Cricetulus griseus: one gene and its partner. Each later gene encodes a partner of the first gene's protein in a complex. Links are inferred from orthologs where the notes say so. Each region holds a gene or a part of one and is shown on either strand. Other genes may lie near its edges.

Region 1 (4,381 bases):
TAAATTTATTTTCTTTTCTCAAATCAACAGAAAAATGGGCTGCAGAATCCACCATTTGAATTTTTATAAACACCAGTTCATGAAAACTGAAGGGAACTAAGACTACTGTAAAACCCCAAAGTCACCAGCCGTATCACTGAGTCTAGGAGACAGAGGACTTGGCATTAGGCAAGATTAACAAATCAGCAACTGTGTGACAGCAGGCAGGTTTTCAGGTCTGTGCTGTTGCACGCATTCTAATTTTGAGTAAGTACCTAATAAAACTCGATAATACAGCAGAGACAGACAGTACAGGTAGAAAGGGTGGAAATCTGTAACCAATCCAAGCTTATACAATGGATGGCGATTTCGGGCCTATGCACAGCTCAATTAGCGTTCTAACAGCAACACGCCGGGGATTAAGAGACAGAACCCAAGGCCGGGAGTGCTGCATCGTCTCCACCTAGCAGTCTACCCGCGGGCAAGTCGCAGGACCCGTATAACGTGGGGAGCTAAGAACACACATACTGCTGGGGCTGAGAGACGGCTCAGCAGGTTAAGAGCACACTGGCTGCTCTTCCAGAGGTTCTGAGTTCAGTTCCCAGCAACCACATGGTGGCTCACGACTATCCGTAATGAGATCTGGTGCCCTCTTCTGGCCTGCTGGAATATATGCTGCAGACAGAGCACCGCATGCATGATTAAATACAAAAAATACTGCGTGCTGACGAGCAGGCACTGTGCTTCCTCAACGGCCCTGTCAAGTAGGCAGCACTTATTACTGCTATGTTTGCAGACAAGGCAAAACTGCAGGCCCAGTGACTTCAAAGAAAAAGCTAGTCCACGACAGCGCCGGAAGTCCAGCAGCCTGGAGTCTCGGGGTCGGGATGAGTGAGCAACCGTCAGGGGCGTGCAGGACGGCGCAGGCGCAGACCGCGCCCCATCCGCGCGCGGCCGCGACCACGCCCGCTGCCGGTCGCGCACCCGCGCCCCACCCACGGGCGCCCGCGACCACGCCCGCTGCCGGCCGCTCACCCGTGCCCCACCCACGCACGACCACAGCCAGCCAGCGGAGGAACCCGCCGCCGCCGCCTTGCCGACCGAACCTCACCTCCTCTCTCCATCGCGAAACTTCCGGGGATACCGGAAGTGGAACGTACCATCTTCCAGAAGCCGGGGTGGGAATAAAAGGGAAAAACGTCTTAGGGAAATTAACTCCCTGCTGCGACTCCGTATTCAGAAACTCTCGGAAATCAAAACCTCGAGTAAGTGGCTGGATCGAGGCCAGTGTTAGCATTTGGGTTCTAAAAGTCAACTTCCGAGTTTTGGAATCTCCCCCCCAACTTCCTGGGTGATAGAACTTTCCAAGAGCGGCGGAGCGTACTCGGCGGCGTTAAAAGAGTCACAGTTGGAAAGAAAGAAATCTCGGGCGGCCCGTGCTGCGCACGCGCGTGAGACTTTGCGTTCTCTCGCGAGAGGAAGGCGCCTTCTCTAGTCCCGAGCGGTCCGTGCCGGTTGTCGGAAAGCGTCTCTTGCAGCTCGCCCAGCATGGCGTCCGTGGGGACCCTCGCCTTCGATGAGTATGGGCGCCCCTTTCTCATCATCAAGGATCAAGACCGCAAGTCCCGTCTCATGGGACTCGAGGCCCTCAAGGTAACGGCCTGGCACGCGAGGCCGCGGGATGAAGGGAGGCGGCCCGAGCGCTCTTGTGCGCCTGCGCCGGCGTGGGAGCGGCTCGGCCACGTGCAGGCCCGCAAGGTCGAGTGGGCTCCGCGTGCACCCCGCCCTTTGTGCGGGCGCGAGAGAAGTGGTGAAGGCCTCAGCCCGGAGGTGGTGGGGACACAGCCTGCCGCCCTGGTGGGGCTCACCCACCCGCTCACCCGGGGAGCGGGCCACCGGCCCCCCAATCGGGAGGGAGGGATGACAAATGACAGCGGAGGGAGCTCTTTGGACTTCGATGGAAGGAGCTGTGCACACACGCATGCACGCACACACACACACATACACACACGTTTGCAAGGGCCAGAGCATTGCGTTCACAGGGACATTGCATCCTCTTGGGCCAGGAAACAACGTGGTTTTTGGAATACAGGGAGACAGTTTGAGGGCGCACGCACTCCTGGTTGCAGATTAGGATGCTTCCCCAAGTTTGGAGCTCTTTGGACCCCATCACAGGGAAACAAAGAAGTTATCCCAAGGGAAGGCAGAACCGAGGGAAAATCCTGTAGAAGGAAAGGGATTTAAAAAAATTTTTTTAAAAGGCTAGAACCCCAGATAAGAATGTCAGCCTGGCAGTGAAGGCGCACACCTTTAGTCCCAGCACTCGAGAGGCAGAGGCAGGAGGATCTCTGTGAGCTACACAGGGAAACCCTGTCTTTGGGGCGGGGGGGGGCGGTCGTTGACAGGTGTTGCCACGGAAAACGCAGAGGAAGGAAGGAGTTGCATCTTGGGTTTTGTGTGTGCCTGTCATGCCTCCAGGTCTGAGGTGCTCTTGTTCACCTGTGTTAGGGTCTTATTTAAACTTAAAGATAACACACCCACTTACTGACCTCTCTGGACCTAGTTTCCAAACGTGGACTTCCTGTCATGCCAACGGTTTGACAGGTGTGTTGGAGTGACTGAAGAAGTGGACAGGGCAACTGTAGAAGCTTGGTTTTGTTTCCTTTCTAGGGGAACTTTTTTTCAGGTCATATGCATTGCTTATTCAGTTCCATTCCCCCACCCCCAAACACACAAACACACACACACACACACACACACACACACACCCTACCTACCTACCTCAGGGTACTTGCAAATTAACATTCCAACAGGCAGAGATTTTACCAGTGTGATTAATGTTAACAGTTGTGCTGTGTCTGCCATTTGTGCTAACTACATGGGCTATTGCATGTGGTCCTCACTCAAGATAGGTCTTCTAGAATTAGGCACTTACGGCAGGGTCATAGAGAAGTTGACAAAGATTTCATAGCCACTAAGGTAGAGAAGGGCCATGACTTCAATCTGCCTCCAGTCACATCGAGGGTAGTGGTCTAGAGCATTGAGCTCACCCTTGCCATTCAGGGCCGGGTTATTTGTAGAAGAGACCTGTTCTGTGTACAGCGTTGAGCTGTTGGCCTCTGCTCAATACATACCTGTTTAGGCAACCAAAAATAAGCTCAGGTGTCCGGTATCCTTGGGCACAGAGACATTTCCTTGTGGTGCTTTTCAAAGAATTGCTAGTGTGCAAAGAAAAAAATGAACTTGGTGTTGTGTAGTCAGCCACTACAGGTGACGAGAGACATTAATGAACATGCGTACTTGCACAGTTCTGAAAATCCAAGATTTCTGTGGTAAGTTTACATCCCTCTGCACCTTGGGGCTGAGAAGATAAGTTAGAGCGACAGGGAGAGTCTGGAGTGCTTTGCTTTTGAGCTCCAGTATTAAGGCACCACGAGTCCTTTTAAACCTTTGGAATTGTTAAGGGACTCTAGAAAATGAGTTAATTAGCAACTAGGAAGTGGATGGGACGTGGTTTTAGAACTCTGTAGGGTGATTTTTGATCTGAGTTTAGTGGTGACAAGAATAAGAGAACAGGACATTGAAGGAAATGAGAGCCAGGTGTGTCTGGGAACAGGGGAGGGTTCTTTCAGGCTTGTACCGTTAATACTTTGATAACAGTAATGTAAATTCTGATCTGAGGAGATTGTTGACATTAACTCCTGAGTTAGAAGAATTTCAATGAAAACTAATGGACCAGACCAGATGTTGCAGTGAAGTTGTGGTTGCATTCCTGGAGTGTAGGGGTCAAAAGCTCGGGCCTGCAGGGATGATAGTATGGGTGTTGTTAAAATTGCATGATCTGGGTCTGACCCTTGGAATGTGTTTAGGGACATGTAGTTGGCCCTTGATCTCCTAGAACTTCTGACAAACTTAGGGGGCCAAGAAGACAAAAGTACCATATGCTTCCCATGGGTGATGGTCACATAAACACTGCTCCTGTGAGGTTAGATATGACCCAGGGTATAGATGTATATAAAACAGGCATACAGATCAAACCTTTACTAAGACTAAATCATAAAGAACATTACTTTTAAGCAAGTTTGTTGTACCTGTAACTCCACTATGTAGTAAAGATAAAAGCAGCTTTTCGAGATAATGAGATGTCTGTGTGTCGGTTTGGGTTATTATTTTAGATTTATTTTGTGTGTATGTATGAGTACCTTCATGTATGTATGTGTACACTAGTGCCTGTGGAGGCCAGAAGAGGGCATCGGATCACTGGAGTACAGGCCATTGGGAGCTGCCACGTGGGTCTTCTGCAAGAGCAAGTGACCCTGACCACTGAGCCATCTCTGTCACTCTCCCAATGAGCTGCACTTCCAATCCTTGCTCTAGTGTCTCTCACAGCTAAGTGTGGTCT
Region 2 (3,811 bases), about 260 Mb from region 1:
TACAAGTTTGAGGCCAGCCTAGGCTACAGAGTGAGATCTGTCTTAACGTATACCAGCCAGGTGATGATGGTAGCACACACTTTTAATCTGAGCATTTGGGAGGCAGAGGCAGAGGCAGGTGTATCTCTGTGAGATCGAGGCCATCCTGGTCTACAAAGTGAGTTCCAGGACAGCCAGGGCTACACAGAGAAACCTTGTCTTGAAAAACAAAAAGCAAAAAAAGAAAGCATACTAATATATGTGGTGGACCATGGAGCCCAGCTTCAGTGCCAGGCAGTGTGTTGAAAAGTAAAGCCTGTGTAATCTTCTGTGGCGTTTTCTCATAGAGGGTTAAGAATATTTGACACCTGTGAATCTCCTACGCTGCAGGCTCACGGGATGGTTCTATGGGACTCTGGGAGGTGACAGATGATGTATTGACCAAAAGTGATGCAAGGCATAATGTGTCACCAGTCCCCGTGTACGCTCATATCACTCACAAGGCCTTAAAGGATATCCCCAAGGAAGATACAAACCCAGACAACTGCAAGGTGCGGGCGTTAGCCTTCAACAACAAAAACAAGGTATGGCTTTATTTCGGGGGATCCTCTCTCCTCCAAGGCACTGCCAGCTGTGTGATGTGGCTTTAAACTCACAGGGCACCCTCTTTAGAGGCCGTGAATGCTGGTGAGAAATTATAATGGGCTGTGAAGCTCGGGCTTAGGCTCTGCTGTGTTTGTTTGGATAGACCATGTTTGTGGCTGGTTCAGTTTCCCTGAGAGCACTCTAATCTGACAGTGCCTCACTTGCTTGTGCCTTTTTAGGTGCTCTGCTTTGGATTTGATTTTCACGCCTCTAAAAGCCAATCACTTGTTTGTAAGCCCCTCATTTTTTCACCGCTTCCTTTGTCTCACACTTGCCACTAGTGTCGCTTAAATCACTGTGCCAGGTCTTCTGACAGTGAGGTTGTAACAGGACCTAAGACTAGACCCAGAGCCCAGAAAGGAGACAGGCTTCTGCAAAATCTGAAAAAGGTCCCAATTTGATTCATTTTTAAAAATATTTATGTGTTGTGAGTGTTTTGTCTGCATATGTGCATGGGTGTGTATACCACATGCACAAGGCCCTGATTTGAAAGGTGGTTCCACTAGAAGAAATTCAGAACAAGGCAACCCAATCACAAAAAGACAAACATGATATGTACTCACTCATATGTGGATTTTAGACATAAAGGATTACCAGCCTACCATCCACACTGCCAGAGAAGCTAGTAAACAAGGAGGACCCTAAAAGAGGCAAACATTGTCCCCTGGAGAAGGGGAAAGGGTCAAGATCCCCTGAGCAAATTGAGAGCACTGGAAGAGGGGGGAGGGAGCTAGGAGAATGAGAAGGGGAGAAGAGGAAGGATGCAGAGGTCATGAGGGAGCAGAAAGGTTGAGTCAGGTGAAGAATAGAAGAAAGGGTATGGGATAGGCAGGGTTTTAGTTGGGGGGTGGTAGGGGAGGAAGGGAGAGAGAAGGGAACTGATATTGTCATGTAAATCAATCTTATTTCTAATTCAAATAAAAAAAGATTTAAAAGAAAGAAAGAAAGAAAGAAAGAAAGAAAGAAAGAAAGAAAGAAAGAAAGAAAGAAAGGTGGTTCCTCTCTGCACCCACAGCTCCCACATTGGGAATGAGAAAAACAGCCTTTCACTTTGAACTCTGCTCTGACAGCTTTAAGGATGTCGGGGTAATCAGTGACATAGAAAGGACATTTTCCCCCACAGATGTGTGTTCATGTGATTGTTAGAGGCTACACTTGCTTTGTGGAATTGAATATACTACCTGCTGCAGTCTGTGGGGTGAGGTGAAAGCATCCTTGATAACTGTGGGTTTTTTGTTTTTATTTTTTTGAAGCAGGGTTTCTCTGTGTAACAACTTTGACTGTCCTGGAACTAGCTCTGTAGACCACACTGGCCCTGAACTCAAAGATCTTCCTGCCTCTGCCTCCCAAGTGCTGGGATTAAAGGCGTGCGTCACCACTGCCTGGCTTCCCCTGTGTGTTCTGGTGCTTTAGTTTGCTGCACATCATATTATAACTTCTTTTTCATTGCTCTTGTAGGAGTTGGGAGCCGTATCACTGGATGGCTACTTTCATCTCTGGAAGGCTGAAAATACATTGTCTAAGGTGTGAACATGACTTCGTAGTTGTATATGATAATTTACCATAGGTTTATAATACTATCATTCTCCCAGAGTCCTGTTGGATTTGTTCAAAACATCATTTCTCCCAAGGTCTGGAAATAGAATTGCATAGTACATGAAGCTGTGGGTCTGGCATGTTTCTCTTGAGGAAAAATCTGGCTATCTTTTAAATTTATTTTTGAGACATGATCTGTCTATGTAGCCCGGTCTAGTCTTAAAATTGTGATCTTCCCACTTGTAAAATACCTCTCAAAGACTGGAAATACTGAATGCTACCAACATGCTTAAGCAAGAAAAGGCCTTTGTTTATTATGTCTCAAGACAGGGTTTCTCTATGTAGCCCTCTCTGGCTATCCTGGAACTCACTCTGTAGACCAGGCTGGCCTGGAACTCAGAGATCTGCCTGCTTCTGCCTCCCAAGTACTGGAATTAAAGGCTTGTGACATCACAACCCAGCATCTAAATATGTTTGTTTGTTTTGTTTTTCTTTCTTAAAAGGTTAGCTCACTAGGTAGCCCTGGCTTGTCTAGGACTTGGGATCTTCTCTCAGCCTCAGTGATAGAGTCACAGGAAAGTCTTTTAAAAAGAGCTGAGATTGCAATAACACAATTTAGGAGAAAACAGATTTATCAATAATATCTGCTAGCAGCTTTTTTATACAATAAAGTGTATATGTGGGTCATGAGTTCATGTCTTGTCTGCGCTACTTATAATATCTGTGACAAGCGTTTTCTAAAGAGAAAGCAAAGCTCTGGGAGTGGATAGTTCCATTGGGTCATAGCAGGTTTGCACTCCACTGGCCCTACATAGCGTCTTACATACAGCAGGCGGACACTGTTTGCTACTTCACAGGGTCAAAGATGCAGGCTGACTCAGATTAACTAGGATAGAGTCAGTCCTGGGGGGTACACTGTCTCTAGTGTACAGTTCTCTTTTCTTTGGGAAATTGGCTGAGGGTGGTTAGAAATTAGTCCCTTTATCTGAAGAGAACAAGGAGTAGTGGTCATGTCGCAGAATGAACAAGGTGAGACTTAGGCTTTAGTGCCCTGGGCTTGTTCCTGGAGATAACTATAGTTCTTGCCTTTCCTGGCATTCTAATTATTTAATTCCAGCCTTCTGTTTTTCCTAATCCAGAACTTACTTCATTTACTTTGTCTTGTCACTAGCTTAGGTAGGTAATTCATGTGCAAAGGAAGCCCACAGAGGTAGGAGCACAAGAATGCCCATTTTATGCTGGTTATGAATGTATCTCTTTGCAGCTCTTTTCCACCAAATTGCCATATTGTCGAGAGAATGTATGTCTGGCTTATGGTAGTGAATGGTCAGTGTATGCAGTGGGCTCTCAAGCGCATGTCTCATTCTTGGATCCACGGCAGCCATCGTCCAACGTCAAGTCTGTCTGCTCCAGGGAGAGAGGCAGTGGTAAGTCCCTGTGTGTTCCTTCAGGCTTACTGCTACATTGCAAATGGGTTTTCACCTTTTGTTTCTTCTTTGACTTCCAAATAAGAACAGTATGTAGCATGTAGAAGTATTTGGTGACAGACGAGAGAAACTTAATTACATACATGAGGCAACAGAATGTCCAGGCTGTAGAAACCTCTGGTAGAACCACTGTGAGGAGATAAGCAGTTAGTTAGCACTACTCC

What was found.
Region 2: the proteins of Cct5 (region 1) and Dcaf12 are in contact, whole or in part, in a cryo-EM structure (PDB 8AJM), measured with the Homo sapiens proteins. The link is inferred for Cricetulus griseus from reciprocal best matches to the Homo sapiens genes CCT5 and DCAF12. Residues at the interface, in NP_036205.1 of Homo sapiens: Gly537, Glu538, Ser539, Glu540, Glu541; in NP_056212.1 of Homo sapiens: Lys91, Phe93, Lys108, His144, Trp186, Phe188, Arg203, Lys254, Arg256, Glu298, Val300, Arg344, Phe411, Tyr422, Leu440, Pro441, Ser442, Gly443.

The regions. Positions count from the first base shown.
Region 1 is NC_048595.1:361,724,973-361,729,353, reverse strand, and holds the start of Cct5 (T-complex protein 1 subunit epsilon), read left to right. Parts: upstream 1-1,527; coding exon 1,528-1,632; intron 1,633-4,381. Other genes in the region: Atpsckmt (ATP synthase subunit C lysine N-methyltransferase), read right to left, coding at 1,091-1,142. UniProt on the Homo sapiens protein: Component of the chaperonin-containing T-complex (TRiC), a molecular chaperone complex that assists the folding of actin, tubulin and other proteins upon ATP hydrolysis.
Region 2 is NC_048595.1:101,286,487-101,290,297, forward strand, and holds part of Dcaf12 (DDB1- and CUL4-associated factor 12), read left to right. Parts: intron 1-369; coding exon 370-563; intron 564-2,082; coding exon 2,083-2,148; intron 2,149-3,424; coding exon 3,425-3,587; intron 3,588-3,811. UniProt on the Homo sapiens protein: Substrate-recognition component of a DCX (DDB1-CUL4-X-box) E3 ubiquitin-protein ligase complex of the DesCEND (destruction via C-end degrons) pathway, which recognizes a C-degron located at the extreme C terminus of target proteins, leading to their ubiquitination and degradation.